Sus scrofa: one gene and its partners. The protein of the gene in region 5 binds, or shares a complex with, the protein of the main gene of each other region. Links are inferred from orthologs where the notes say so. Each region holds a gene or a part of one and is shown on either strand. Other genes may lie near its edges.

Region 1 (4,912 bases), on a different chromosome or scaffold from region 5:
TAAGGCAGAGAATTTGTTTGCTTTCTCTTTTCAAAATAGAAGTGTAAAAAGTTCTTCCAGTGATATCATTGACATAGAGTGACATCTGGTGGTTGTCTCTCAATGTGTTTGTGGAAGAAAGTGAATACAAAAAGTCTGAAAGACACCTAAATACAAGATTAAGAGCAATGCATTTTAAAAAGTAGTAGAAAATAAAACATATTTTAAATCCCTCCTATCACAGAAAAGTTCTTTCTTTTTTCTTTTTTTTTTTTTAAGGGCCGAACCCACGCATATAGAAGTTCCCAGGCTAGGGGTTGAATTGGAGCTGTAGCTGTGGCCTACCTACAGCCACAGCCGCACTGTATCAGAGCCACCTGTGCGACCCACACCAGCGCTCAGAGCAAGGCCAGGTCCTTAATCCACTTATCAAGGCCAGGGATTGAACCCTTGTCCTCAAGGATACTAATCCAGTTCCTTACCTTTGAGCCACGAGGGGAACCCCCAGAAAAGTATTTCTTTAAAGCTAGCTATGGGTTTGCAAACTTTTTTTCCTTTGGTCTTTTTAGGGCCGCACTCTGCAGTCTATGGAGGTTCCCAGGCTAGGGGATCAAATCGTAGCTGTAGCTTCTGGCCTAGGCCACAGCAAAGCAGATCCCAGCCACGTCTGAGACCTACAATTGCAGTTCATGACAACCCCGGATCCTTAGCCCATTGTGTGGGGCCAGGGATCCAATCCCCTGTCCCCAGGTACTGGTTGGGTTCCTTACCACTGAGCCACAATGGAAACTCCTACACTGAACCTTTAAAAGAAGGTAGGGGAGTTCCTGTGGTGGCTCAGTGGTTAAGGAATCCGACTAGGAACCATGAGGTTGCCTGTTCGATCCCTGGCCTCGCTCAGTAGGTTAAGGATCCGGCGTTGTGCCTGAGTTGTGGTGTAGGTCGCAAACGTGGCTTGGATCTGGCAGTTGCTGTGGTTCTGGCGTAGTCTGACAGCAACAGCTCCGATTAGACCCCTAGCCTGGGAACCTCCATATGCTGCAGGTGCAGCCCTAGAAAAGAAAAGAAAAGAAAAAAAAAAAAAAAAAAAAGGTAGGGAGTTCTCCTTTGTGGCTTAGAGGATTAAGAATCCAACTAGTATACCTGAGCGTGTGTTGGATTCCTGGGGTCGTTCAGTGGATTAAGGATCCCCTTGTTGCTGCGAGCTGCGGCTCAAACCCACATTGCTGTGGCTGTGGCTAGGCCGGCAGCTGCAGCTCGATTTGACTCCTAGCTTGGGAACTTCCATGTATCTGCTCTGTGGCCTTAAAAAGAAAAAAAAAAAAAAAAAAAAAAAAAAAAGCGGTAGATTCCTGTAAAAAAAAAAAGTTTTTGCTTTTGTTTTTTAACAAAAATTGCAACACAATAAAATCAGTGGCGGAAAAAATATTTATGTTGGTCTTCAGAAGATCCTTGGTTGAAATGAAATATAACCCAGGGAAAATCAAACGACTCAAACGTTTCTATTTTGCAGTCTTCCAGGTTGAGGAATATTTTATTTATAAGGCAAGATATCTTTAATTTGTCTTGGAAACTTGGAGGGCAAAGTATCTGCTGAGGCCGCAGAATGTTCAACGCACTGATGTATTCCCCCGGATCTCGTTGCGGAGGAAAGAAGTGACTCCGAGCGATTCACGTAGGACTGGCCCGATCGCACGCTCGGCCTCAGATTGGTCGAGCCTGGCCGGGCTAGGGGAAAAAAGCGGAAGCGCGCTCTTTCAAACTCGCCTTCCCAACGTCGGTAGAGGCTGGCCACTTCCGGCGTAGCCATGGCGGCTAACGCTACGACTAACCCGTCGCAGCTGCTACCTCTAGGTAATCGTTGTCCTGTGGGGAGCTGGGGAGGGGAGCTGAAGGGTTGCGGGCCGAGGGCCAGCGCAGTCCTTGACTGAGTGTTAGAGAAATGTATCTGACCAATTGTTTTCTTTATCCGCGGCTCTTTGGGCTCTAAGGCTCTGAGGCCTCAGGCCGCCCGCGTCTTTTCGGCGTGGAAGGGTTTTCTTGAGCCAGGACTTTCTGAGTTCTCACACCAAACCGTCACTGGAAAAGGTTCACACTTAGTGAATGCGTCGTCGGCCTTTTTTGTTGTGAGTTCGCCTTTACAGTAGTGGATAGCAGTCCCATTCTTCTACCTGGCATTTAAAATCCCTAGGTTAGACCCTGTTGTCTGTCTGGCCCGTTATTGAGAGAGGTAGCGGGGTCTGCAATGAGCTTTAAAAGGGGACACTGGAAATTAGCTCTGATTGTCATTCATTTATTCCACAAACAGTTTTTGCGCATCTGTAGACTAGACATCGTAACTTAGCTTCAGGTAGCATTCATGCCAGCGCAGGAGACAGGATGCCAGACAATTAAACATCATACCAAGTAACAGTAATTCTGCTGAAGAGATATTCAAGCTGCTCTCAGAGAACAGAGGATAGCCGTCTTGGGGCTGGGGAAGACAGTTATGTCTTTTTCTAATATTTTGTATCTGAAGGGTAATTAAGTTAGTGGACGTGGCGGTAATTGGAAAGTTTTTTCCTTCATTGAACAAAAAAAAGTTTCTTTTTAGGCCCGCACCCGAGGCACATGGAGGTTCCCAGGCTAGGGGTCCCATTGGAACTGTAGCTGCTGGCCTTCGTTTCTGCTGCGCCACAACGGGAACTCCCGAGACCTGAAGTTTTTGAGTGAATCCTTTTCTTGGTTTATCTTTCACCATATGTAAGTAATAAGTGCCAGTAAGTACTCACATATTTCTTGAAGTAATGAATGTGCAAAATAATTTTTTTCACCCCTCCCCCCACTTATTTTTCTTTTAAAAAACCTGTATCTATAGAGCTTGTAGACAAGTGTATAGGATCAAGAATTCACATTGTGATGAAGAGTGATAAAGAGATTGTTGGCACGCTTCTCGGATTTGATGACTTTGTCAGTATCCTTTTAAAAAGTGGGGGTATGGGTTTTTCTTTGTTTTTTAATTAAAAAAATTTTTTTTTGTTATTATTTTTTATGTCTTTTCTAGGGCTGCTCCCATGGCATATGGAGGTTCCCAGGCTAGGGGTCGAATCGGAGCTGTAGCCACCGGCCTACACCAGAGTCACAGCAAAGCGGGATCCGAGCTGCATCTGAAACCTACACCACAGCTCACGGCAACGCCGGATCCTTAACCCACTGAGCAAGGCCAGGGACGGAACCCGCGACCTCATGGTTCCTAGTCGGATTTGTTAACCACTGCGCCACGACGGGAACTCCATCTTCAGTTTTTTTTAAAAAAGTAAGAACTATAGTCAGTGCTTACTGATTATTATAATAAAAATTAATTTATTCTCATGGAATTCGTGGTAGTGTTTTAAGGGGTGTGTGTACCCCTACCAATCGCAAGCAATTTGAATTTGAGTCATTATGTTAAATGTTATTTTTTTATTTTTATTTTTTGTCTTTTTGCCTTTTCTAGGGCCGCTCCCTCGGCATAGGGAGGTACTCAGACTAGGGGTCTGATCGGAGCTGTAAGCTGCTGGCCTACGCCAGAGCCACAGCAATGATGTATCCAAGCCACATCTTCGACCTACACCACAGCTCATGGCAACGCCAGATCCTTAACCCACTGAGCAAGGCCAGGGATTGAACCCGCAACCTCATGGTTCCTAGTTGGATTTGTTAACCACTGAGCCATGATGGGAACTCCCAATGTTATAATTAAAACTGAACAAAGACAGAAGCCAGAGTAAATTTAACATGGTATATATTTTCTTAACACCAAATTTCAGATATGGTACTGGAAGATGTCACTGAATTGTGAGTAGTGTTAAAAATTAAAGAATTGGGCAGGGGGAATCTCTCTTTAAGGCAGTTGTAGCACTGTTGAGTCAGTAAAATGATGTATGAGAAAACACTGCCTGTTTGAATCACTAACATAGAAATTTTATGACTGAGGTTAGTAAAATTGGATTGTAGGATTATTACCTTAATTGTTAGGAAATTAGTGGAAACAAAGCTTTAAGGTAAAAGACACTAAAAGCAGTGAGGGATCTTAGGGCTCAGATCAAAAGTATTTAATACTTTGAATTGAATATAGAAAATGTAAATGATGGCTCAATTATATTAATTATAAAGATTGTGACCAGTAGTAGATCTGCTTTCAGAATTGAATTGATTACAGAATGGTATAATGGATAGGAAGCAGAAGCAAATGAATGGTTAAAAAAAATGAGGATAGTAAACATTTTATTTCATATTTGATCTCCTAGGCAAGTTTTAGCTTTTTAAGTGAAGATCAGCCCTAGTGGATGTGGATCTTAGATGAGCCCGTCAACTCTATTCCCTGTGGGGAAGAATAAACCAATGGATAACTTTTGTCTCATGTTTTCATTTATATATAATAATTAGCCTTTTGGGGGAATCAAAATGTTGGCTTTGACAATCACTGTTTATCCTGACTTTTTGTTTTGTTTTAATTTTTTCTTTATTTTTATCCTGACTTTTTAAAAAATCTGTTTAGTGAAATCACACCAGAAGGAAGAAGAATTACTAAGTTAGATCAAATTTTGCTAAATGGAAATAATATAACAATGGTAAGATACAGTAAAGCTATTTTATTTAGATGTTAAGCCATTTTTATGGGGCAGGGATTACAGAACTAACTTGTCTAAATGCTTGTGGCCCAGTGGTACTTAAAATGGGAAAGGGATGCTGGTGGTCAGGGCTCTAAAGCCATTAAAGATGACATTAGGCCTAAGATTAGTTTGTGATTATTAATCATTTATTTTACCAAGAGTCATTGTGGAGACATTAAGTATTGAGGGTGGTGGCATTGTAAAATAGCAGTGACTTGGAGAAAATGGGAATATGGGGGAGGAGCAAAGTGGTGTGGCTTTAGTCAATGGGGAGCTCTCAGTAGGGGTTTTTATATTGT
Region 2 (4,979 bases), on a different chromosome or scaffold from region 5:
CTTGGGGTGGGGGTGGCGGATGCCACATCCCACAGGCCTTCTCTGAGAAGAGCCACCTGGGGGAGATCCAGCAGTGGCAGGAAGCTGGGCCCAAGCCCACTTCCTGCACTGGCTTCCTGGAGGGGCAAGATAAAGAGGAGGAAGGTGCCACGTGGAGGAGAGGTGGAGGAGAGGTGGCTGGTCCTAGAAGGCAGCTGGGGGTCCCAACACAGGCAACATGCAGCCCCTGCCCCCTCCTCTGGAATGCATCTGTCTGGAGTTCCTGTTGTGGCACAGTGAAAACAAATCCAACCAGTATCCATGAAGATGTGGGTTCGATCCCTGGCGCTGCTCAGTGGGTTAAGGATCCGGCGTTGAAGTGAGCTATGGTATAGGTCACAGACGTAGCTCTAATCCCGTGTGGCTGTGGCTGTGGTATGGGCCGACAGCTGCAGCTCCAATTCCACCCCTAGCCTGGGAACTTCCATATGCTGCAGGTGTGGGCCTAAAAAGGAAAAAAGAAAAAGGAACACATCTGTCTGATGCTGCCTGAGCACAGCAAGCTGTGGAGAAAGAACAGGAGGCTCAGATATGCATGAGGGAGCCACAGAGCCAGGTGGTATTCTATTATAGAGAAGCTCAGGGTTTTCCTGGACAAGCCTGTTTGCTGTATCCACAACGGGAATCAGGACCAGAGCAATGACACACTTGAGTCCTCCTCCCAGATCACCGGAGACGGGGACAGGGCCAGGCCAGCCCCTGTCCTGGAAGGTGAGAATGAAAATGGACTGTGTGGAGAGGTGGAGGGAGTAGGAGTAGCACAGCCAAGGCCCCTCTAGATGAGGTACCAGCAGCTAGGAGGGACACCCAAGGATACAGAGCAAGGTCTGGGTAAAGCCGGGGAAAGCAGATTAATGCCTGTTAGCAGAAGACCCACAGATGTCCTTTTATGGCATACCTTGCCTTCAGGCTGTCTCTCTCAGGCTACCATCCTGTCCCAGCTACGAGTAGCACACCCCTGGAGGACCCACAGCCTTTGCAGCTGTTGCCAGCAGTGTGACCTCAGAGGACGGCAGCGACACAGATGGAACCAGCACCTGCTCACACCCTCCCCTGCACACCCGCTCCCTTGGCTAGCCACAGAGCCAGGCCTGACACGGCTCTAGCAAACTGGCCCGCTCACTTCTTCACACCACGCCTGGTGCTATTGGTCAAACTTTGTTCCTTGGTTCCCTCTACCTGGGGTGCCCTCCCCCAGGCTGGTGACTTCTGCTTCAGCCAGCCCCTCATTATAACCCCATCAAGGGAATGAGGTTTCCACCTGGGCCACCCTCTGCTTCTATTATAGGGTATAGCCAGTCTCTAATTAACTTGTTTATTTATTACGTCTCCCTGGCTAGACTGGAAACACCAAGCCTCTTGCTAGACTGGAAAATTCAGAGGGTGTGGACTTTGTCCAGTGCTGAACACTGGGCCAGGCACATGCAAGGGACTCAGTAAATATTTGCTGACAAATATAGCACATACCACCCAGGGAGGCACTCCAGGCAGGGGGTGGTGACAGGGGTGGGGTGGGGTGGGGAATACTTGCCACACCTCACAAGACAAGGAAAAGGAGAAGCTCAGGTAGGGAAAGGTGGCATTGGGACAGCCCTCCAAGACTTCAACAACCGCAGCAGTGGTCATATCTACTTCCTTGTTCCCAAACGCTGTTGGAGACAAAGGCCAAAGGAAGAGGAGGAACCTGGTGAACTTGAAAGCGAGGGGTATGCTGGGGTGGGGGAAAGCATGAAGGTGCCAGGGATACAGGAGAGGGCAGATCACCCAGTTCAGGGGGGAGCAAGGGCTGTGTGGAATTTGGAGTCATAAAAAGCTTCAGGGAAGAGAATTCTTTTCTCTAGCCTTTCTCAGAACATCTGGGGTCTGGCCCTCAGGTCTAGGTCCATCCACACCTAAATACATTTATTTATTTGCTTTTTAGGGCCGCACCCATGGCATATGGAGGTTCCCAGGCTAGGGGTCGAATTGGAGGTACAGCCACCAGCCTGCGCCACAGCCACATGGGATCTGATCCACGTGTGCAGCTTACACCACAGCTCACAGCAACACTGGATCCTTAATCCACTAAGCAAGACCTGGGATCAAACCCCCAACCTCATGGTTATTACTCGGATTCGTTTCTGCTGTGCCACAATGGAAACTTCCACAACTGGATTTAATGGTGTCCTGAGGTTCCCAACTCAGGAAGCTGCTGATCACCCACTCCCTCACCCAGACCTTGGCTTGGCTTCCGCCCCACCCCGACCACAAGGAACAGGCAGTGTGTAATGCCTTAGCCACTCCTGAACACAGACTTTGCACAGACACTGTTCTAGGCTCTGGCAATATATGAGGATAAAACAGAGATCCTATCTCCATGGAGCTTAACAAATGGATTCTTCCACAGACCAACTCTACCCTCCAGAGAGACGAACAGAGAGAACGAAGCTGCTCCCTTCTCTCCATCCCTACAATGACCAGAAGAATTACTGAACCCTCATGGTCAGCTCCGAAAAATGTGCAGCGACCATCTTAGAGGACTCGAGGGCTGATGGGCCAGGTTCTCTCCCAGCTCAATTCCTCTGTGTGGGCCTCCATTTCCCTGTCTGTCACTCACTGGGGACACAGGCACGCTGGTTTAGATCTCCAATTTCCACAACTTGTGAGATGGCATGGCCCTGGGGAGACTTCCTGCCAGGGCCTCGATTTTTTTGTTTTCTAAACTGGGATACGGTTAGCCCATCCATGGCTGAAAACGCCCCCCCTTCCCCTGGAACCATATGCTGTGTGACCCCGGAAGAAGTTAACCTTGCTTTGGGTCTGCTTTTTAGTCTGAAAAGGAGAGGCATAAGAGGTTGCGCAGCTAGCATTCCAAGGGCAGTACAACCCCCGAAATTCCCCAGATTGGCTGAATTTGAGAAAGAAGGCCGGCCCCCTACTGCCTGGTGCTCTAGCTTTACTGTCTAGGAGGTCAGATCGGGTCGGATGCACTGGGAGCCATTTCCCCGTCCGAAAACTCACTCTGCTGCATTCACCGGGCCCTTCAGCAGGTCCCCTTCCTCTCTGGCCTCAGTTTCCCCATCTGCAAAATGGGAAGACTGCTGCCAGACTGCCATACTGTGATTTCATTTCTATCCAATCCCAAGCTCCCCCGAGACCGACGTGCTTGGTGTCCTGGGAGAAGCTCTTCCACTCTCCGGCCTGTCCTCCCCACCTTGGGCGAAGGGGCAGGACTCAAGGCCCAGATTACAGGCTGGCTCCACAACGCCCCTGAACCAACAACCGCCCCGAGGGCCCTTGGCGGCCGGCTCCCCCGTCGCACCGCCCTCACCATGGTGTCGGCGGGGACTAGGCTCGTGGGCTACTTCCGCCGCCGCCGCCGCTCACGTTCCCGCCGGTAGCTGCAGCTCTGCGCGCCACTAGGCTGAAATGGAGTGGCAGCAACGCGAGCCAGTCAGCACGAGGCTCATGGGAAGGCCAACCAATCCACGCGGAGTAAGGCGGGGCCTATTAAACACGAGGGGCGGGGCGGGCCGCGTTCCTACCGGAGAAATGAGAGAGAGAGTCGTAAAGTGCCGCTATGAGTGCTGCAAAAGGGGGCGGAGCAATGTGCGCCGGCGCAGGAGGCCTTGTGGGTAAGGGCGCCTGCGCAGGTGCAATCTTCAGTGATTTTTCCGGGCTCCACGCTGTGGGCAAAACGGGGTAGTGCCTCCAATTTCCAAATGGAGGAATGGCAGCTCTATGGTTATTGCCATGTGTCCCTTCGAGCTCCTACTCTTCTGATTCTCTTTATTGTAGTTGACCGTTGTCCAGGGCACTTCTTTTGATAGGCTAGACGTACCGGTGTGAACCTCAGTTTGCTTCCCTTTGAAATGGGCTTAATAATAGTGTCTGCTTTAGAAGGTTGCAATGAGTGCCAAGTGATTTATGCCTTGTAAAAGAAGAGTGCCCGGCACGTACTGAGCACTTGATACACGGACATGCAATAAATATTTATTGAGCATCTACTACGGGCCTCCTCCTGGAAACACAGAAGAGAATAAACCAAACAAAACTCCTGGCCCTCCTGAGGTTTAGGAGCCCACTGGGGAGGCAGACTGTAAACAAAATAGACAAATGTATTAGTTTCCTTGGGCTGCCATAACAAATGATCAAACTGGGTGGTTTTATTTTTTTATTTTTATTTGAATATTTTTTGCTTTTTAGGTCCTCACCCATGGCATATGAACGTTCCCAAGCTAGGGGTCGAATTGGATGGAGCTACAGTTGCCTACACCATAGCCATGGCAATGCAGGATCTGAGCAGCATTTGTGGCCTACACCGCAGCTTCCTTAACCCACTGATTGAGGCCAGGGATTGAACCTGAGTCCTCATGGATACCTAGTCCGGTTCCTTACTGCTGAGCAACAACAGGAACTCCAAACTGGGTGGTTTTAAACAGTAAAACTTAATCCGAAAGACTGAAATCAAAGTTTTAGCAGAGTTGGTTCTTTCTGAAGGATCTGAGGGGCAATTCATCCCATGCTTCTCTGCCAGCAATCCTTGTAGTTCTTGGCACAGATTCCTCTGTCATCACATGGTGCTTTTCTTTGTGTGTCTCTGTGTCTCAACTCTTCCTCTTTTTTTTTTTTTTTTTTTTTTGTCTTTTTGCTATTTCTTGGGCCGCTCCCGCGGCATATGGAGTTTCCCAGGCTAGGGGTTGAATCGGAGCTGTAGCCACCAGCCTACGCCAGAGCCACAGCAACGCGGGATCCGAGCCGCGTCTGCAACCTACACCACAGCTCACGGCAACGCCGGATCGTCAACCCACTGAGCAGGAGCAGGGACTGAACCCGCAACCTCATGGTTGCTAGTCGGATTCGTTAACCACTGCGCCACGACGGGAACTCCTCTTCCTCTTTTTTTATGAAGGCATTCCTTTCTCGTATTAGGCCCTTCCTAAACTCAGGTTAAATTTCAT
Region 3 (5,246 bases), on a different chromosome or scaffold from region 5:
CTGAGCCTCCACTGGGATGACACCATTCTCAGGTGGAACCACTGTACTGAAAATACACCAGTTAGAGCGGAGCCACAGCTTCCCCAAATAAAGCTCTCACGCTTCTGCCTGGCCCTGCTCACATCACCTGCAACACCCTCCATCTGCTCTCCTGACCTAGCAAACTCCTACTCGTCCTTCAGAACACCCTGCAGGCACCGCTGCTCCTGAAAAGCATTCCCAGGCCAATTGCATCCCTCATTCTGTGGTGTTTCCATGACCCTCCCCCTGCTTCTAGCTTTGCACTCCTTTGGAATACCCAGACAGCTCAAGGTCCCTGCCTCGAGTTGCTGAGACAGCTGAGGAAAATGAGTGAACAGGGCTCAGGGAAGTACAGGGGGCTGGCAAAGCAGCTAGGGGGGCGTCCCAGAGAGCCTGAGAGGGAGGGGCAATGAAGCTGAGGCTAAGTGTATGACCAGGCAATTCATACACAACCCTACATACAGAACCCTCCCTGGGCCTGGTTCTTCATGGCGCTCAAGAGGAAGACCAGCTCTCCACTGACAGGAGGCTGCTTGCTCACAGCCCTAAACCCACTCCCTACCATTCTGTGACCCTGGGCGAAAGAGAGAAGTGCAGGGAGCCTTCAATACACTAGAGCTGGAAAGGGGAAGCTTCCTGACAGCCAGATCACAGGGGCTTCACGAATGCACCAGGAAGCTGCCAGAAGGCTCTCCTCTGGGCACAAGACATGACACACTTTGAGAAAGATCGCTCCTGCAGTGTTGAGAATGAACCGGGGGTGCAGAGAACAAAAGTGGCCACAGAGGAAAGCCATCTGCCTGGAGCAGAGGTGGAGGGGCTGGAGCAGGCTAATGACCCAGTTTTGGGAGCTGTTGGGGGCCACCACTGCCTAAGCTGTGGAACCTGAGAGAGGGGGAGGATTTGGTAATAAAAGATGCACTTATGACAATGTATATCAGCCACCTCGTGGTAGTTCCCCCCACTAGCACCTGGAGACCCTTAACGTTAAATGACAGAGAAGTAGCATGCTGCGCGTTCATGATCCCATATATCATCTCGCTGACTCTATACTGTACACTTATCTTCCTTTTGCAGACAAGGAACTGATACTCAAAGCGGGGAACTCCCTTGCCAAGGTCATGCGAGCAAAAGATGCGGCGGCGATTCGACCCCACTTCGGGGCTGGGCTCCCGGCTGCGTCCCAACACCGCCAGACCCTGGGTGCCGCGCTGGACAGTTTACCACAACCACGGTCGAGGCAGATAGCGTCGCACTCAAGGAGAAACTGAGGCTCGGAGAGGGGTAGCTCCCAGACCAAAGTCACGAAGCTAGAGGGGCGTCTCTGGCGGCGGTTGGAGACCCCGGGGTGGACAAGCGGGGCTCGGGGCAGGAGAGGGGGAACCCCCCCTTAAGACTCCGGCGGGGCCTGGTGACGCTGCGGCTGGGAAGGGCTTCCAGGCAGGGAAGGCAGACGCGCCGGGGACAGTCCGGCAAGGTCACTGCCGGCCCCGAGCCCGCGGGCCGACCGCGTAGGGGGCACGGACACCCTAGGTTGACCCCCAGGCCAGGCCGAGCGGACCCCTATGCGGGGTCGGGGGGCCAAGGAGTAATGGCACCGCGGATGGCGAGGCCGCCAGGGTCGGCGCCGCCCTCACCTGGGCTGCGAGGAGAACGAAGGCCGCCGCGAGCCGAGCCAGCGATGCCACCGCCGCCATGTCGCCCGGTCCCCGCCGCAGGCGTCGGCAGATGTTTCCCAGCAACGCCTTGGCGCCCCGCGCTGCGCAGGCGCCAGGCGTCCGCCGCGCATGTGCAGGGGGCAGAGGCCAAAGGGCGCGGCGCGGCGGCGGCGGCAAGATGGCGGTGAGCGTGCGGCGCGGCTGGCTTGGCTGGAGGGGCTGGCGGGGCAGAATCTGGCCGCGCTTCCCCCCTCACGCAATGTGCTTTCCTCGCAGGACAAAGAGAAGAAAAAGAAGGAAAGCATCTTGGACCTGTCCAAGTACATCGACAAGACTATTCGGGTGAAGTTCCAGGGAGGCCGCGAAGGTGAGGCCCCGCCCCCTGCCTCCCCCCCCCACTCTCCCCCTCTTAAGGTCCACACGGGGTAACGGGCAGCGGTACTGATGACGAATACCTGGGCGGCGCTTTAATCGTTTAGTTCGGAGAACTCGTGCCGGCTTGCAAAAGGCGCCGGGAGGTAGGAACGATTACGGCCCTGTTGCAGGTGGGGAAACTGAGGCACGGGAAAAGGCCCCAAACTAACCCAAAACCCAGTGGCTGGGATTCACTGCTCTGCCTGCTGTGGTTCTTTCTCACCCAGGTGGCTGCCCCAGCTCCTCACCGTGCTCCTGCACCAGGGTTTCTCAGGCTCGGCACTGCTGACATTGGGGCAGCAGTGTTCTCTGTGGAGGTTTGTCCTGGGCGTTGTAGAGTGTGAAACAGCATCTCTGATTCCCACCCACTTGATGCCAGGAGCCCCCCATTCGTGACGACCACAGACCTCCCAGACATGGCCCACTGTCCCTTGGGGGACAGAACTGACCCGGTTGAGAACCATGGCCCTATGGTCAATTTTTATGAAGCCACCAGAGGGATCTGTTATAAAGAAATCCCATCTCCTTGTTCACGGTTGTTCCAGGGTAAAGGAGGAACCTTTTGCTCCAGAGTAATGCTGGGAGTTCTCAACCGCCACAGGGCTGTAAAGATACTTGTTTTCTCTGTCTTGAGCACCTTTACCAGGTTAACTGGCTACCAAGTTAACTTGGTCATTTCCCCACTGGCAGCTCAATACCATTGCTCTGGGAAGCTTTCCCTGACTCCCCAGCCCAGGTCAGGCCTCTTTGTTATGAGCTTCTACTAGTACCTGTCACACAGTTTGCAGCTTTCTGCTGTTATTGTGAGGCTTTAACTCTGCGTCTCCTACTGGAATCTGGTAAGGAGACTGCAGGGTCATGCGGGCAGTGCCGTCCATGGCAGAGCCCTCTTGTCCACTCAGCTGCTGTGGAACTTTGGGCAAGGCACTATCTTTTCTGAGCCTCAGTCTCTTCCTTTGTCAGAGGCTATTATTGACTCCGCCCACCTCAGCAGTGGGGATTAAAGAGTTCAAGGCAGGTAAAGTGTTAACAGGGTTCCCGATGGAGGTTCCCAGGCTAGGTGTCTAATCGGAGCTGTAGCCGCCGCTTATGCCAGAACCACAGCAACTCGGGATCCGAGCCGTGTCTGCGACCTACACCACAGCTCACGGCAACACCAGATCCTTAACCCACTGAGCAAGGCCAGGGATCAAACCTGCAACCTCATGGTTCCTAGTCAGATTTGCTAACCACTCAGCCACGATAGGAAGTCCCTGACAGATAATTCAAGGTCAACATTTCACTTATTCAGCTTCCTCTGATCTTCAGTTTCTTAAACAGTGCTCCAGATCCCTCCTTCCCTGAGCTGTGGACAGTTGAGTAGCATCAGAATGGCTAAAAGCACAGTCAGTGCCTGCCAGTCGAGGTACCTGGCACAGTGAGGATTTGAACATGCTAGTACCATCCTAGCTCTGAAACATAGGAGATAGGTCTCGTCTCGGGGTGCTTATGTTTGCAACGCTGCGGAGCAAACGGCCACCAGTTAGCTGCTTAAACAACACACGTTTTTATCTCAACAGTGTGCGTGGTTTCTATACTCTGGGTGCCTCAGGTCGCTGACAAGGTGGCCATAAAAGAGTGTCTCTGGGAGCTTGTCATCTGAGACCCAGTTCCTCCTGCCTGCCCACTGGTTGTTGGACTCAGGTCCCCGTATTCTGGCTAAAGTGGGCCAGAGACCCTTTTGGCTCTTGGAGGCTGCCTGCTGCCCTTGCCATGGGCTCTGTCCATCGCCTAGCAGTTTGCTTCTTCAAAGCCAGCAGGAAAATCTCTTTTGTCCAGAAAGTGCCCATTCCTTTAGTAGCTCACCTTTCAGGTTGGGCCTACCCAGCATAGCCTCCCTTTAGGTTCACTGAAAGTCAGCCGACTCTTGAACCTTAATTACAGCTGCGAAGCCTTCTGTCTCTGTCACATGACCACAGAGTGATGTCCCATCGTTGCTCCTGTTCCACACTGAGGGGAGGGGGTTCCCAGGCGTGTTCTCGGGGTGAGGGAATGCCGGTTCTGTCTCAGAATCCTGCCCGCCTGCCACAGTGCACCCGTCCCCTTGAGGGGGGCAGACCCACAGGTGTGGGCTCCCGGCCCCCAGGCCAAGTGCCCGAATGCATTGTCCACTCTCCATAACCCCATGAAGTAGGTTCTATCACAGTCTTTGTTCCGTAGGGGAGGGTCAAGCAGGAAAAGGACGCAATGACAGGGCTTCAAACTCAGGTGGGGCCGACAGACATTTTCTATAGAAGACCGGACATGGAATATTTTCAGCTCTGCAGGCCAGACTGTCTCTTTTGAAACCACTCAACTGCCATTGCAGCAGGAAAGCAGCCACAGGCGACATTTAGCAAATGAACATGGCTGTGAGCCAGTTAAACTGTTTACAAAACAGGCACAAGGTTTCGCTGACTGTTCTGGTGGGGGTGGTTTGGGGTCAGCTGACACTGCTCCCCTTCTGGGAGCCCTTCCCTCGCTTTCTCCTTGGTCCCCTGTCTCCAGAGCAGCTGCTCCCACATCTGCATCTGGTTGCAGGGTGACCCCTTGCCGGTGGGGCACCCCCATCCTGCCGACACCTGGATGCAGTTCAAACCTGCCCCAGGATGACCACTGATCTTCCATCTCTCTGTCTCTCTTCTTTTCTCGGTGATTCTGACAAGCCAGTGGAATCCTGAAAGGGTTTGACCCACTCCTCAACCTCGTGCTGGATGGCACCATCGAATACATGAGAGGTGAGTGCAGCTGGCGGGGCTCCAAGCGTCCTTGCCAGGCTTTCCTTACTGTTCCAAAGTCACTCAGCTGCCACCCAAGTGCTAACCATGAATGTTGTGCCTTGTGGATCAGACGGCTGACAGATGTGTTTGATCTCTCACGGTCCTGGCGAGGCCCAGTAGCCCATCATCTTGAGCCTTCAGAGGTGCGGAGTATTTGCTGATCCGCTCATCACTGACCCTGAGCACCAGTGGGTTTGGAGTGTGCCTGGTCTGGCCAGAAAGATGCCACGGCCCCATGAGAGACCCAGCTGCCCTGGGGTTCCTTCAGACCCATTACCTCCTGCTGTCCCTGTGCAGTAACTCCCTGCTGCTGACAGAGGGTCCCCCCATTCTCTGCCCCCAGTCCCTTTCTCCC
Region 4 (4,739 bases), on a different chromosome or scaffold from region 5:
TATTTGGGGAATGATTTTTCTGTAATCAGTCAAGAAAATACATCCTTATACGGGACTTTAGATTCCAAAAGGAGGAAGCATCATATTGGAAACTCATGAGGAAGAGGGACTATGGTTTGTTTACTGGTTTCTGTGTAATTTTTGTTCGGTCAAGATATTGAGAAAGCATCTGACTCTGAACATCATATATGCTTAGAATACATTTCACTTGGCAACTGAATGATTTGTATTCCTTATTTGATTTTTGGAATTAGTTTACCAATTTAAAATTTCGCTATTTTATTTAACTAGAACATCTGGTTTACAGTCTCTATAATTAAAGTGGGCTTTTTGTTTTACCCACTTTGCATTATTTTCATTTTATTACTAACTTGATTATAAAACATTATATTACAAAAACCAAATATTTATGAATAGCCAGTACTAGCTAAACTTCCTCTAATCCTCCCAGACACAGCCTTAAACACAGGAACATCAACCCACCTATTCTGGGTGATTTTGCTTGATGACCAAAGAGAACTATCTCAACAGTTCTCACAAGTCGTTTCTGTGAAAATATTTTTCTCTAGAAAATGTTTTATTTGTGAACAAAAAATTAACATGTCTAATAAGTAGTTTTCAGTGTTAAAAAACATGAAATCCACCTTTAAACTCAGAAAGGATCCATTCCAGAAGCCCTTTTCAGAATTTATACATTTTGCCATTATCTCTTCCTATTCCGTCTGCATTTTTATTTTGAGGCAGGGGTCAGCAAAGGATGGCCTGTAGGCCAAATAGAGCCTGCTACCTCTTATTGTAAATAAAGTTTTATTGGAACACATTCATGATTATTAATTTATATATTATCTATGGCTGTTTTCTTGCAATAACAAAAGTTGAGGTATGAAGGAGACCATAGGACCCTTAAAGCTTAAAATAATTAGTATCTACATATTTACAAAAAGAGCTTGCCAACTATTTTTAAACAGTCATTAAAAAAAAACTTGAAATTTTGTTTCAATTACAAGGATATAAGCATTTTTCCATTCTTATCACAAAGTTACACACTTTGGCCTACAGATGACTCTCGCTGAGAAATCCGGTGGACTAGCCTGGATATCTAAATACTACTTGTAACAATGTTTCTATGGACTCTTAAAAGTATAAACAACCAAGTGTGAAAACAGCCCATGGGTGGATGAGGGGCATTTATCTACTTAATTGATTTCACACAAATAATAGACCAAAGAACAGGACTGACATGCTTGAAGAAAACATGTTTACTTCTTTTGAAATTGGGTTCATGGAACTAGGGAGTCATGGAAAGCTGTTGACAATAATAGCAAGCACTGCCTCAATATAAACTTAAGGTTTATTTACTCACATTTAAAAACAATAGAACACTCCTTTACTACTAGAAATTCCCCAATTCTTAAAATTAAAAGCTAAGATGACTTTTAAGATTGTGTGCAATCAATAGTTTTTTTCAGATAATAGACAACTTTGTTAGCATTTTTCCTTTTCTCAACCAAACACACTTTTTAGTAAACCACACTTACAAAGTGCTAGGGAGCAACTGCCAGGGCAATATGATAAACAGGAATGGTTTAGATAACTACAGGAGACAAGACTTACCATCTTATAACTTTCTTAAAAATCAGGGAAAGATGGAGTTCCTATTGTGGCTCAGAGGTTAAGTACCCAACACTGTCTCTGTGAGGATGTGGGTTTTATCCCTGACATCGCTCAGCAGGTTACGGATCCTGCATTGCTGTGGCTGTGGCCTCAGCTGCAGCTCTGATTAGACCCCTAGCCTGGGAACCTCCATATAACAAGTGTGGCTGCCAAAAAGAAAACAAAAAAAGGAAAGAAACATACGTATCCTGCACTATTGGTATTTGTATGTTTAATTTAAATAGTACATGAATTTCTCTTTCCAACTAGTTTTCCACAAGTATTAAAATATATCTTTTCTAAAACTTCTCAAAATAATTAGATTTTTACACTATTCAATCAAAAAATAAAACCAAGCTAGCAAATGTATGATTTAGACCAAAAACAGTTTTTCATGAAAATGTAGAAATATTTTAATTTACATATCATATTACAATGAATCAAAATGGAGTCAAAATCCACAAGGACACATTCATAAAAAATTCTGCACAGTATCCTCAGAATAATCAGTTTCTGTACAAAGATTTACAGATGTCCATCATATGTAGTTTTTTCTCAGTGTGCCACAGAATTCAGAGGTTCTGCTCGAATATTTCCCAAATCAAGTGCCGAATCTGTCTCTTCATCAATCTCTCCAATGACTGCCCTGTAATTATTTAAGGGGAAAAAAATAAATCAGTTTAAACAATCTTATTTCTGACTGAGAGAAGATGGTAAAAAAAAATACTTAAGGTGAAAAACATTTTTATAAGGTAGTGAATTACATATGGCCAATTTCAAGGTACCAACAGACATGATCTACCAGCTTGCAAAACTCCTTGAAATATAAAAATCTGCTTCTATGAGTCAGTACAAGCTGGCTCCAGCATACTGCTAGGTCTACAACAATGTTTCTTTTTTTTTTGGCTTTTTAGGGCCACATCTGTGGCATATGCAGGTTCCCAGGCTAGGGGTCAAATCAGAGCTATAGCTGTCGGCTAATGCACAGCCACAGCAACACTCAATCCAAGCCATGTCTGTGACCTACCCCACAGCTCACGGCAATGCAGGATACTTAATCCACTGAGCGAGGCCAGGGATTGAAGCTGCATCCTTATGGATGCTAGTCAGTCAGATTTGTTTTCTGCTGAGCCACAAAAGGAACTCCTTAATTTTTTTTAAATTGAAGTTTAAAGTAGAAGAAAAAGTCTTAAAATCAAATTTACAAATTAGAAGAAAAAAGTAATGGATAAGTACTTATTTATAAATTCAGCTAGGTTACAAAGCAATAATTATTTAAAACTGTTCACACAAGAGATTTCAAAGACATTTTCAAACGCTAGCCTTGGACCCTAGATATATATTTATGTTCCTTTGAAATTAGGAGTATTTTGGAAGAACACTTTAAGAAGCCTCTCCAATGACGTATTCAAGGCAGGGCCCTTTCTGGACCCCATCCAGGCTACTTAACTATTAGAAATTCAGACAAATCTCGGTAGATAAAAAACCCTTCTCCATATAGCAAGGCAGTATATATCTATAGTATATTTAACTTGCCTTAAAAAAAGACATGTTTTACTTACACATTGTCTCCTCTTACGATGTATAACCCTAGTACCACTTGTTCTACTCCCTGTGAGGAACTGAACACTCGTTCATGGCTTTCATCCAAAATCAAATTAATGGTCTGGTCAAAGCCTTTCAGGGTTCCCTGTAAAAGAACATTCAAGAGAAAAAGACAAATATTCTCATTTACCTGAATGTGTAAATTCAACCACACAACAAATTTAGTTGCCAGGTACTCCAAAAGAAGTACCCATTTTAAGTATATGTAAGTCCACTGGAAGATAGAATGCTTCTTTATGACCAACAGTATTCACATTCTTGGGCATTTACCTCTTGGTTTTTTTTTGTGGGGGGGGAACCCACCACGCTTCTGACTAGTGTGCAGAGTTGTTGAGAACTACAGGGACGCCTATGTACTAGTTTATTTCCAAGGAAAGAGCATAAAAGTCCAGGTAGTCCAGGAGCTAATATTCTAAAGATACAAACTAAAACAAGGGAAACTTAAGGGAAATATTCCTATACATAGCAGCTATAGCAATGTAACAGTATCATTTCATGTTACATACCAGTAAACATGCTGCACACATTATCTAAACAAATCCCTATCCTTTGCCTTAGATGCTATAAATATTCCTACTTCAGAGGAGAAAAATTGAGGCACAAAAAAGTAATCTCTCAAGGTTTCATGGGTAGAAATAGCAGTTAGAATCTGAACCGTGAAAGGCTAGCTTCAGAGCCAAACCCCTGATCTATATTATACCAAGCAAATAGAATTTACCACTTTTCAGAGATTCAAATCAATTCCATAAATATACACAAACTTCAACTGGTAATAACAGCTAAGATTTGAGTACTTAGTATTGCAAAACAGTGTTCTATGGGCTTCATGTGGATTTACTTATTTAATCCTCCAGTAATAGTTGATACAAATGTGACTGTAACAATTAGAACAATCTAGAATTTGCAGTAACTATTCAGAGAAAGTTTTATGGAAGAAGCTTGGTTCTTAATAAAGGAAGACATAAGCCTAGTACAACATAGTAATTCAGATGCTATTGAAGTTTCTAAAGACACATCAACATATTGGTTTTAGTTGGTTAAATCTCTCAAGCTCACCATTAAAGTTGCTGTTTTGAAACTCTATATAAAATCAGAATGAAATAAAGAGAAAATGTTAACTTAGAATTTGGAAGAGAAACAAAATATGGAGTATTTACTAAACTAGCTAGCAAATAGTTCTAATCACACCCATACATAACTTCTTGGCTTCATTTACACATAACTGTTCTATGAAGTGAGCCATGTGTCAAAGAAATACAAACTACTGAACTTTAGTGCTCAAAATGCCTTTTAAAAATGGCTTTCCTTCTTCTATCAAGTTAAAATAATTTTCCAATTTATTAACCCATCTTGTTAACAAAACAAGAGCATTTAAACTTGAGATTTTCATAAAATAAAAAAAAAACCTATTTACAAACATTTGTTAACAATAGGCTTCTCAAAGTTAAGAAGAGATTAAAAGATTTCAAACTGTCCTTACT
Region 5 (4,479 bases):
TGCCACAGTGGGGACTCCTTGGCTGATCTTTAATGATGAAAATTTTAAGTGGAATTGGTGGTAATCCTTGCTTTCTTTGGCTTTAGTGCTCATTCTCTTGGTTAATTGATGTTTGGTCAATGGAAGTTTTCTACAGATGTGTTGTAACAGATGGCATTTTTCTTTAGAGGGAAAGATTTTTAAAATTCAGTTCTGGGAGTTCCTGCTGTGATGCGACAGGATAGGTGGCATTTTAGGAGAGCTGGGACACAGCTCTGGGATCCAGCTGTGGCTTGGATCTGATCCCTGGCCTGGAAGCTCCATATGCTGTTGTGTGGCCAAAAAAGAAAAAAGAAGTTCAATTCTGAAAAAAAAAATTTTTTTTTTGGTCTTTTGGGCCGCACCTGCGGCATAGGGAGGTTCCCAGGCTAAGGGTGGAATCAGAGCTGAAGCTGCCGGCCTACACCACAGCCACAGCAACGCCAGATCCGAGCCACGTCTGCGACCTACACCATGGCCCATGGCAACACTGGATCCTTAACCCACTGATCGAGGGCAGAGGTCAAACCTGTGTCCTCATGGATGCCAGTCAGATTCATTTCCACTGTAGTCACGACAGGAACTCAGAAATAATTTTAAACTTGCAGAGAACTTTAAAAATTAAATGGAGGATTTCTGCCTACTCTTCACAAGCCTCTTCTCACAACCCTAGTGCTGTTGCTGAAATCAGGAAGTGAATGTTGACTCGGCACTCTTAACTAACCTGTAGCTCTTACTTGAATCCCACGGGTTTTCTGCCTCTGTCCTCCTCCTGGCCCAGGACCCAGGCCAGGGCCCACACTGCGTTTAGCTGTGTCCTTCGCCTCCTCTGATTGGTGCAGATGTTCTTCTTTCATGCCCTTGACCCTTTTGAAGACTGCTCAGCAGCTCTTTGGTTACCTCCAGCTAGGGTTCAACTGGTTGACAAAACCTGTTCAGCAGACTTTTCGCAGCTGGCTGTGCTGTTTCTGCTGGTGGGGGTTGTGTTGGAGGGAAGACTGATGGTCTAAGTTATGCTGTTTGGCCCCAGTTTAATGGCTACGCTGGGAGTCTCTTCTCCAGCGGGCCCTACGAGAAAGACGACGAGGAAGCAGATGCCATCTACGCAGCCCTGGACAAGAGGATGGATGAAAGAAGGAAGGAGAGGAGGTAAGACAAGCGATTGCTCTCCGTACTGTTAGCCAGCTTCTTAGAACAATTGTGTTCTGGGAGTTCTCGTACGGGGCAGCTGGCTCAGGATCTAGCACTGTCACAGCAGCAGCTCCAGTTGGATCCCTGGCCTTGGAACTTTCACATGCTGTTGGCGAAGCCTCCCCCCGCCCCCCACAAAGAAAGTTCTGTTTTGGTTTATTTCTTTTTTTTTTGTCTTTTTGCCTTTTCTAGGGCTGCACTGCGGCACATGGAGGTTCCCAGGCTAGGGGTCTAATTGGAGCTGTAGCTGCCGGCCTACACCACAGCCACAGCAACATCACATCCGAGCCGCATCTGTGACCTGCACCACAGCTCCCGGCAACACCAGATCCTTAACCCACTGAGTGAGGCCAAGGGATTGAACCTGAGTACTCGTGGATTCCAGTCAGATTCATTTTCTGCCGAGCCATGGTGGGAACTCCAGGGGGAGTTTTTCAAAAGCATGTTATTGAGTTGATGTGTAGGAACTTGTGTGTGTGTGTGTGTGTGTGTGTGTGTGTGATAGTTAAGTGTGGTTTTGCATATTAAAGATGATTTGATTCCAATTTTCTGGAATTCGTTCATTTAGAAAACTTGAAAAAAAAAAGGAAAAAACCCCAAAACCTGAGTGAGAAGTTCCTTGGTGGCCTGGTGGTTAAGGATCTGGCATTGCCAACTGTTGTGGCACAGGTTTGATCCCTGGCCTGGGAACTAGCGCATCCCGTGGCCAAAAAACAAACCGGAATCCTGAATGACATGGATACTTGTAGAGAATTGCTGTATTAACTGGTTTTAAGAAAGTGGTTGGCTTATGGAGTTCCCATCATGGTGCAGTGGAAATGAATCCGACTGGGAACCATGAGGTTGCGGGTTCAATCTCTGGCCTCGCTCAGTGGGTTAAGGATCTGGCGTTGCTGCGGGCTCTGGCATAGGCCGGCAGCTACAGCTCTGATTAGACCCCTAGCCTGGGAACCTCCATATGCCATGGGTGTGGCCCTAGAAAGACAAAAGACTTAAGGAAAAACAAACAAAAATAAAACAAAACCAAAAAAACCCCAACGAAAGTGGTTGGCTTCTGAAAACTGGTCACAACGCAAACACAGATACACAGGAAGAGTAGTGTGGCACACATGCCCCTGCTGCCACGTAGTCTCTACACTGTTTACAGTTCGCACGTCTGCCTCATCTGCACCTGCACGTGGTCTTTGTGGGGCCCCAGCACTGAGCAGTATGTCTTGTTACCTGGTAGCCAGTCCGCATCCACTTTTCCCTGCTTATCCCAACAGCATCATAGAGCAGCTTTTTTTTTCTTTTTTGTCTTTTTTGGGCCGTACCCGTGGCATATGGAAGTTTCCAGGCTAAGGGTTGAATCGGAGCTGTAGCTGCCGGCCTACACCACAGCCACAGCAATGTCAGATACTTAACCCACTGAGCGAGGACAGGGATCGAACCCATGTCCTCATGGGTACTAGTTGGGTTCGTTACCGCTGAGCCACGACGGGAACTTCCGAGCTTTCTTTTCTAAGCCAGGACACAACCAGAACCCCTCATGGGCATGTCTCTTAGCCACCCCCCCCAACTGCACCCCATCCCCCAGAATGGCTGCCTGTCTCCTCAGGGTGCCTTTGTACTGTCATGCTTTTAGCATTGCTTGGTGGAATGGAAATTGGATCCTGAGGCTTGATTTTTTAAAAAATATTTATTTATTTAATTAACTTTTTTTTATGGCCTCGTTCTCGGCATATGGATGTTCCCAGGCCAGGAATCAAACCTGTGCCACAGTAGTGTCATTGTTGGATCCTTAACCCACTGGGCCACAAGAGAACTCCCAGAGGCTTGATTAAAATCAGATGGAATGTCTTTTGCCAGAAAACCCGACAGGTGCGTCTGTGTGTCTCGCCCCATCAGGAGCCGTGATGACAGGCCACCTCTAGCCCGTGGAGGGGTTTGTCCTTTCCAGGCGCATCATTTGTCGCCACACAGTCGGAGTCCTGTCTGAGCTCAGTGCTGGAACCCTGGCTCCGGGGCGGACATCCACACTAGTTTACTTAGTCACCATTTCCCATGGCTCTTTGTATCCACATGTGACCTGGCCCCAAGTCACAGACCTGTCGGTTGTGGCAGTCGGAGCAGCCAGGCTTCTTGTTCGTTAGAAGGGAGCTCTCCTTTGAAGAGCGCAAGGTAAATTGAGTAGAGAGTTGGATGGGCAACTAGGACAGTGCTTCAGATTTGCTTCTGAGTTGAGTCTTCATAGGATGGCCCTGCCTTTGGAATTTTGTATAATTTTAAAGCAGTAAATATGCTTGTATTCAAATGCAAGTATTTATTGGAATAAGACAAAATTTGCTTTTATTTTAGTGATTTCTGCATGTTTTCACCTGGTAGGGAATTGAGTTAATTTGCTAATGTGTCCGCTGTTGCCTTAAAATAGATTTGATTTAGGTCCTGAGTGTGTGGAACTATTCCGTTTTTTGGTGGTTTGATCAAGAAGTATAATAAAAGGCCTTTGTTTCAGAACGGACATGCAGTATTTCTAATGTGTGCACACACGTTTTATTTCCTAGGGAGCAAAGGGAGAAAGAAGAAATTGAGAAATACCGTATGGAGCGTCCCAAAATCCAGCAGCAGTTCTCAGATCTCAAAGTGAGCAGACGGGTGGCATGATATTCCTGATGCCCTTCCCGAGAACCGAGGCTCAGGCGGAGCTGATGAGATTTTGCTGCCTCTGCCCTTTGTTTAATTCAGTGGGTGGAAGAAGGCCCCTGCTCCAGCGTGTTTAATGTGTGTGTGTCTGTGTATGTAACAAGCCTCCGCTCTCCTCACTACAAAAGGTGGAACAAAGGGCTGAGTTTATTTGTAACTTTATTTTATTTTAGTTTTTTGGGGTTTTTTTTTGTGTGTGTAACTTTATTTTTTATTTTATTTTTTGGGTTTTTTTTTTTGCCATTTCTTGGGCTGCTCTCGCGGCATATGGAGGTTCCCAGGCTAGGGGTCGAATCGGAGCTGTAGCCTGCCGGCCTACGCCAGGGCCACAGCAGCGCAGGATCCGAGCTGTGTCTGCAACCTACACCACAGCTCACAGCAACGCCGAATCGTTAACCCACTGAGCAAGGGCAGGGACCGAACCCACAACCTCATGGTTCCTAGTCAGATTCGTTAACCACTGCGCCACGACGGGAACTCCTGTCTTTCTGACTTACTTCACTCAGTATGAGAGTCTCTAGTTCCATCCAAGTTGCTGCAACTGGCATTATTTTGTTCTTTTTTATGTCTGAGTCATATTCCATTGTG
Region 6 (4,204 bases), on a different chromosome or scaffold from region 5:
TTCTGTGTCAAGAGTTCAGCACCCATTTCTGGATTTCAGCATCTTTTGCTATTTGGAGAGGCTGAGAATTTGTTGTTGTTGTTGTTGACAGTTTTTACAACCAGTTTCTCTCTTCTTTTACTATAAGGCCTAGGAAACCAGGCAGTGCCTTCAAGACTTTACTTCTGTGTTCTCAGCTCTTATCCACATGCATCGCTTACAAGTGTCACAGACATTCTGCCACTGTGTAGCAAAGATCCCTTTCCTCCACTCCCTGGAACATGTCCCTAACTCCTTGCAAGTCCATATTTCTACTAACAGGCTATTTAAGGCAATCCAGGCCTTTTCTGTTATGCTTCTCAAAGTTCTCCAAAAGTCCTCCAGGTGGGAATATGGGTGCCGCCTTAGATCCTGCTTCTCACTGCATGTGGCCAGGACAAGTTCTGATGGGAAAGGGGGTTGCAGAAAGGAGTCAGGTGGTGCTGTGCCAGACTGTGTATTTTGCTATTTTAGGATTGATACTGCACTCAGAAAATGAGACAAAATCTTCTACTGTTTCTGCAACCCAGACTTCTAAGACAACTAGTAGTAGTACTTTAATTTATTCCCTAAATATATATAGAGTAACACTAGGTTTCATGTCTAGTTCTGGGACTTTGTCAGATGAGACAGGGTTCCTGCTGTCACAGAACTTCATCTGCTGGCAGAGCTGAGTAAATTAGCACTGGGAAACAGGGAGATGGAAGAGAACCCAGTTCCACTCTAGCATGTTGGGCAAGTCTCAGGAGTCCTGCTGGTGGGATTAAGAAGTCACCTTCGTGAACATAAGCCCACCTGTGACACCAAGGCACCCATTTCACCTTTATGGCCCTGAAGTGTTTTCAGGAACTGAAGACTGGAGACTGAATATCCCATGACTCTTATTCATGGAAGTTCCAAGAGTTTTGGCAACTGTGAGCCAGGAATTATGGATGAAAACCAAATACATATGAGAAATATAGTCATCTCAGTGACTAAATACATGTTTTTCCTATAAATCACAATGTCGCAGCAGGTATTCACAGAGGTACAAATACTTTGAGTAGTGGGAAGTGCTTAAAGCCTGCTGGATGATTTTGGTCGAGCCCCATGCATCTAGCAGGGGCACAAAGGCAGAACAGCTACCACAATTCGGAAACCTGCAAGGAGGTGGGAGGACTGACAGGTGAGGGTGGGGAGGGGCAGGTGGGTGGGGAGGGAGAGCGGGGCAGGGTCCAGATGCCTGGATTCATGGACCAGTGTGAGGAGTTGGAATATTGCCTGGAAGGGAATGTTTGCATCAGGAAAGTAACATCACATTTACTTTTGGAAGCTCACTCTGGCTGAAAGGAGGCCAAACTGCAATTAGGACAGAGCACATATACATGGAACAACAGCTGGGAGCCAGACTTACAACCTTGCAGAAACAGAAGTTAAATTATTAAGAATTAGTGCAGCCTGGAGTTCCCTTTGCAGCTCATCATTAAAGAACCTGACTAGTGTCCATGAGGATTCGGGTGCCATCCCTGGCCTTGCTCAGTGGGTTAAGGATCCAGGGTTGCCGTGAGCTGTGGTACAAGTCAAAGATATGGCTCAGATCTCAATATTCTGTGGCTGTAGTGTAGGCTGGCAGCTGCAGCTCCAATTCAACCCCTAGCTTGGGAATTTCATGTGTCCCAGGTGTGGCCCTGAAAAACAAAAAAAGTTTAAACAAAAAAAGAATTTGTGCAGCTATTACAACAAGGGTTAATATCTTTATTTTTTAAAGGGCCATATAAATTCATTTTAAAAAGCAGCCTTTTGGAGCTCCCGTCGTGGCTCAGTGATTAACGAACCTGACTAGCATCCATGAGGACTCGGGTTTGATCCCTGGCTTTGCTCAGTGAGTTAAGGATCTGGCATTGCTGTGTGCTGTAATGTAGGTTGCAGACGTGGCTCAGATCCTGAGTTGCTGTGGCTCTGGCATAGGACAGCGGCTACAGCTCCAATTCGACCCCCAGCCTGGGAACCTTCGTATGCCGCTGGTGTGGCCCTAAAAGACTAAATAAATAAATAAATAGCCCCTTAAGGGTTCCCTGGTGGCACAGCAGGTTAAGAATCTGTTGGCATGGGTTTGATCCCTGGCCTGAGAATTTTAACATGCCCCGAGTGCAGCTAGTAAAAATAGCTTCCTGGAACGTAAGTTTGTGAAGAATCATGGAAATGCAAAATATATTCATTTCGCAATCAGTAGGACTTTTTTTAAAATAAAAAAAAAAAAAAATTCTGGCCATTCCTGAGGCACACAGCAGTTCTAAGCCAGAGATTGAACCCAAGTCACAGCAGTGACGACGATCAGTCCTTAACCACTGGACTATCAGGAGCTCCCTTAGTGGGGCTTTAATAACATGTATACTAGGTGCTCACAAGAATGCCATGATGAACTCATACATGGCTTTTTTTCAGATAAATTAGTACAACCCTCTGGAAAACAGTTTGGCTTCCCAAGTGGCTAAAACTGTGTCCTTTGACCTTCAGTTACCCTGTAGCTTATTTGTCCTAAGGAAATACAGAAACATGTGGAAGGAGCTTTGCGTGTTTTGTCAAATAATGTTTCGGTTGTTTCCAGTTTCCTAAATCATGGTATACTCTCTGGGTTGTGTTAACTGGTTTTAAGTAGGAAAGGTAAGGCGTGTTTTTCATGGATTCTTTTCCAGAAGGTTCTTTATGAGCATTGTCCCCCTTTCCCTCTTGCAGGAACAAGCATATCATGATTGACCTGGGTACTGGCAACAACAACAAGATCAACTGGGCCATGGAGGACAAGCAGGAGATGATCGACATAATTGAGACTGTGTACCGTGGGGCCCGGAAAGGCCGCGGTCTGGTTGTATCCCCGAAGGACTACTCCACAAAGTACAGATACTGAGCTCCTAGCCGGTCCTGGTGCACACAGGTGCCATGGAGTCAGTCCCACATGGACACAGTCTAAACTCTTGAGAGCATCTGAGGAAGTATGTGTGGCTCAAGGAGCTGGAGGGTTTTACAGTGAGGGTGGCATTGCCTTTACTTTCAGTCTACTTGATCATTGTATTTTTGTATCAGCAAATATCTGTAAATAGCTAAATAAATACAATACCTGGCGACAGGAACAGTCACAATTGTTTATTTCTGAGAAAACTTGATGTTTAGGTTAGTGATTTTGGTAATCAGGGATTAACTTGACCTTTGGAGGGAGGTTCAGGCATGAGTCCTGTGGGGCCACTGTGTTTGCACACTTGTCAGTGAGAATCTGGCTGTGTTTTCTAGGGCTGCTGTAATCCCAGCCTTCATCGTCACATGCTATTCTCCCCATGCGTGTGTGTGTCCAGATGTCCCCACCACTGAGGGCCACCCCACCCCAACATAGCGTCATCTCAGCTAATCACATCTGCAAAGACGGACATCCTGAGGCCCCAGGGTTAGGACATAGGAACAGGGAGAGGCAGAAAAGTACACACTTAAGGAAAAAATTATCTTGTTTTTATGGTGATAAAAATGGTGATAAAATAATGATTTTTGGAACCTTTTAAATGTAAAGAGTAAGAGTTGTTTCTTATTCTGCCTAAGATTATGTCGAATGTACTTAAATACACTGTTTCTCTGACTCTTCAGTACATGTACCTAAGCAATTTCTGTATCCATCCCAAGTCTCTCCTCTGAATCTCTTACTCTAGCAGTGTGTTGTTGTTGGTTAGGATCTTCCCGGGCACGTACATCTTGGTGCCCACGACTGAAATGAAAAGAGTTGTAGAATGTGGAAGCTGCACAGGGGCCTGGTGGAGGCACATTTGGAAGCCCTGCCGGGTCTCATAGCCAGGCTCTGTGCTTACCCAGGACCTCAGGCCAGTGGCCCCAGAGCCCCATTTCCTCCCATGGGAAGGAGATGCCCATGTCTGCTGTCTGACACACACTGCCCAAAGGTCAGTGGAAACAACGACCTGGTGGGCCTGCATGGTGTGGAAACAGCCTTGTCAGATTAACACCCTATTGAATGGTGAGGAGTACTAACCAAACAGTGAAGTCAACAAATACGAAAAAAGACACATGCACGTGCAAGTGTACACATGTACTTGCACACACACAAAGGAGTGTGTTTTGGGGGCATGCAGAAGTTCCTGGGGCCAGGGATTGAACCTGTGCCACAACAGTGACCTGCAACTCACAACAGTGACAAATGCTGGATTCC

The links.
Region 1: PRPF6 (region 5) and LSM5 share a complex: the UniProt entries of both Homo sapiens proteins name them as parts of the U4/U6-U5 tri-snRNP complex. The link is inferred for Sus scrofa from reciprocal best matches to the Homo sapiens genes PRPF6 and LSM5.
Region 2: PRPF6 (region 5) and LSM4 share a complex: the UniProt entries of both Homo sapiens proteins name them as parts of the U4/U6-U5 tri-snRNP complex. The link is inferred for Sus scrofa from reciprocal best matches to the Homo sapiens genes PRPF6 and LSM4.
Region 3: PRPF6 (region 5) and LSM7 share a complex: the UniProt entries of both Homo sapiens proteins name them as parts of the U4/U6-U5 tri-snRNP complex. The link is inferred for Sus scrofa from reciprocal best matches to the Homo sapiens genes PRPF6 and LSM7.
Region 4: PRPF6 (region 5) and LSM8 share a complex: the UniProt entries of both Homo sapiens proteins name them as parts of the U4/U6-U5 tri-snRNP complex. The link is inferred for Sus scrofa from reciprocal best matches to the Homo sapiens genes PRPF6 and LSM8.
Region 6: PRPF6 (region 5) and TXNL4A share a complex: the UniProt entries of both Homo sapiens proteins name them as parts of the U4/U6-U5 tri-snRNP complex. The link is inferred for Sus scrofa from reciprocal best matches to the Homo sapiens genes PRPF6 and TXNL4A.

Annotation. Positions count from the first base shown.
Region 1 is NC_010460.4:40,750,696-40,755,607, forward strand, and holds the start of LSM5 (U6 snRNA-associated Sm-like protein LSm5), read left to right. Parts: upstream 1-1,694; 5' UTR 1,695-1,787; coding exon 1,788-1,833; intron 1,834-1,844; exon of another isoform or gene 1,845-2,721; intron 2,722-2,836; coding exon 2,837-2,932; intron 2,933-3,767; coding exon 3,768-3,795; intron 3,796-4,498; coding exon 4,499-4,571; intron 4,572-4,912. UniProt on the Homo sapiens protein: Plays a role in pre-mRNA splicing as component of the U4/U6-U5 tri-snRNP complex that is involved in spliceosome assembly, and as component of the precatalytic spliceosome (spliceosome B complex).
Region 2 is NC_010444.4:59,498,049-59,503,027, reverse strand, and holds the start of LSM4 (U6 snRNA-associated Sm-like protein LSm4), read right to left. Parts: upstream 3,469-4,979; 5' UTR 3,353-3,468; coding exon 3,350-3,352; intron 3,101-3,349; exon of another isoform or gene 3,040-3,100; intron 1,378-3,039; exon of another isoform or gene 938-1,377; intron 1-937. UniProt on the Homo sapiens protein: Plays a role in pre-mRNA splicing as component of the U4/U6-U5 tri-snRNP complex that is involved in spliceosome assembly, and as component of the precatalytic spliceosome (spliceosome B complex).
Region 3 is NC_010444.4:76,245,309-76,250,554, forward strand, and holds the start of LSM7 (U6 snRNA-associated Sm-like protein LSm7), read left to right. Parts: upstream 1-1,716; coding exon 1,717-1,863; intron 1,864-1,955; coding exon 1,956-2,046; intron 2,047-4,777; coding exon 4,778-4,849; intron 4,850-5,246. Other genes in the region: SPPL2B (signal peptide peptidase-like 2B), read right to left, coding at 1,659-1,718. UniProt on the Homo sapiens protein: Plays a role in pre-mRNA splicing as component of the U4/U6-U5 tri-snRNP complex that is involved in spliceosome assembly, and as component of the precatalytic spliceosome (spliceosome B complex).
Region 4 is NC_010460.4:28,122,875-28,127,613, forward strand, and holds the end of LSM8 (LSM8 homolog, U6 small nuclear RNA associated), read right to left. Parts: intron 3,344-4,739; coding exon 3,216-3,343; intron 2,300-3,215; coding exon 2,209-2,299; 3' UTR 1,242-2,208; downstream 1-1,241. UniProt on the Homo sapiens protein: Plays a role in pre-mRNA splicing as component of the U4/U6-U5 tri-snRNP complex that is involved in spliceosome assembly, and as component of the precatalytic spliceosome (spliceosome B complex).
Region 5 is NC_010459.5:62,818,176-62,822,654, forward strand, and holds part of PRPF6 (pre-mRNA-processing factor 6), read left to right. Parts: intron 1-1,048; coding exon 1,049-1,167; intron 1,168-3,752; coding exon 3,753-3,831; intron 3,832-4,479. UniProt on the Homo sapiens protein: Involved in pre-mRNA splicing as component of the U4/U6-U5 tri-snRNP complex, one of the building blocks of the spliceosome.
Region 6 is NC_010448.4:127,974,094-127,978,297, reverse strand, and holds the end of TXNL4A (thioredoxin-like protein 4A), read left to right. Parts: intron 1-2,733; coding exon 2,734-2,905; 3' UTR 2,906-3,134; downstream 3,135-4,204. UniProt on the Homo sapiens protein: Plays a role in pre-mRNA splicing as component of the U5 snRNP and U4/U6-U5 tri-snRNP complexes that are involved in spliceosome assembly, and as component of the precatalytic spliceosome (spliceosome B complex).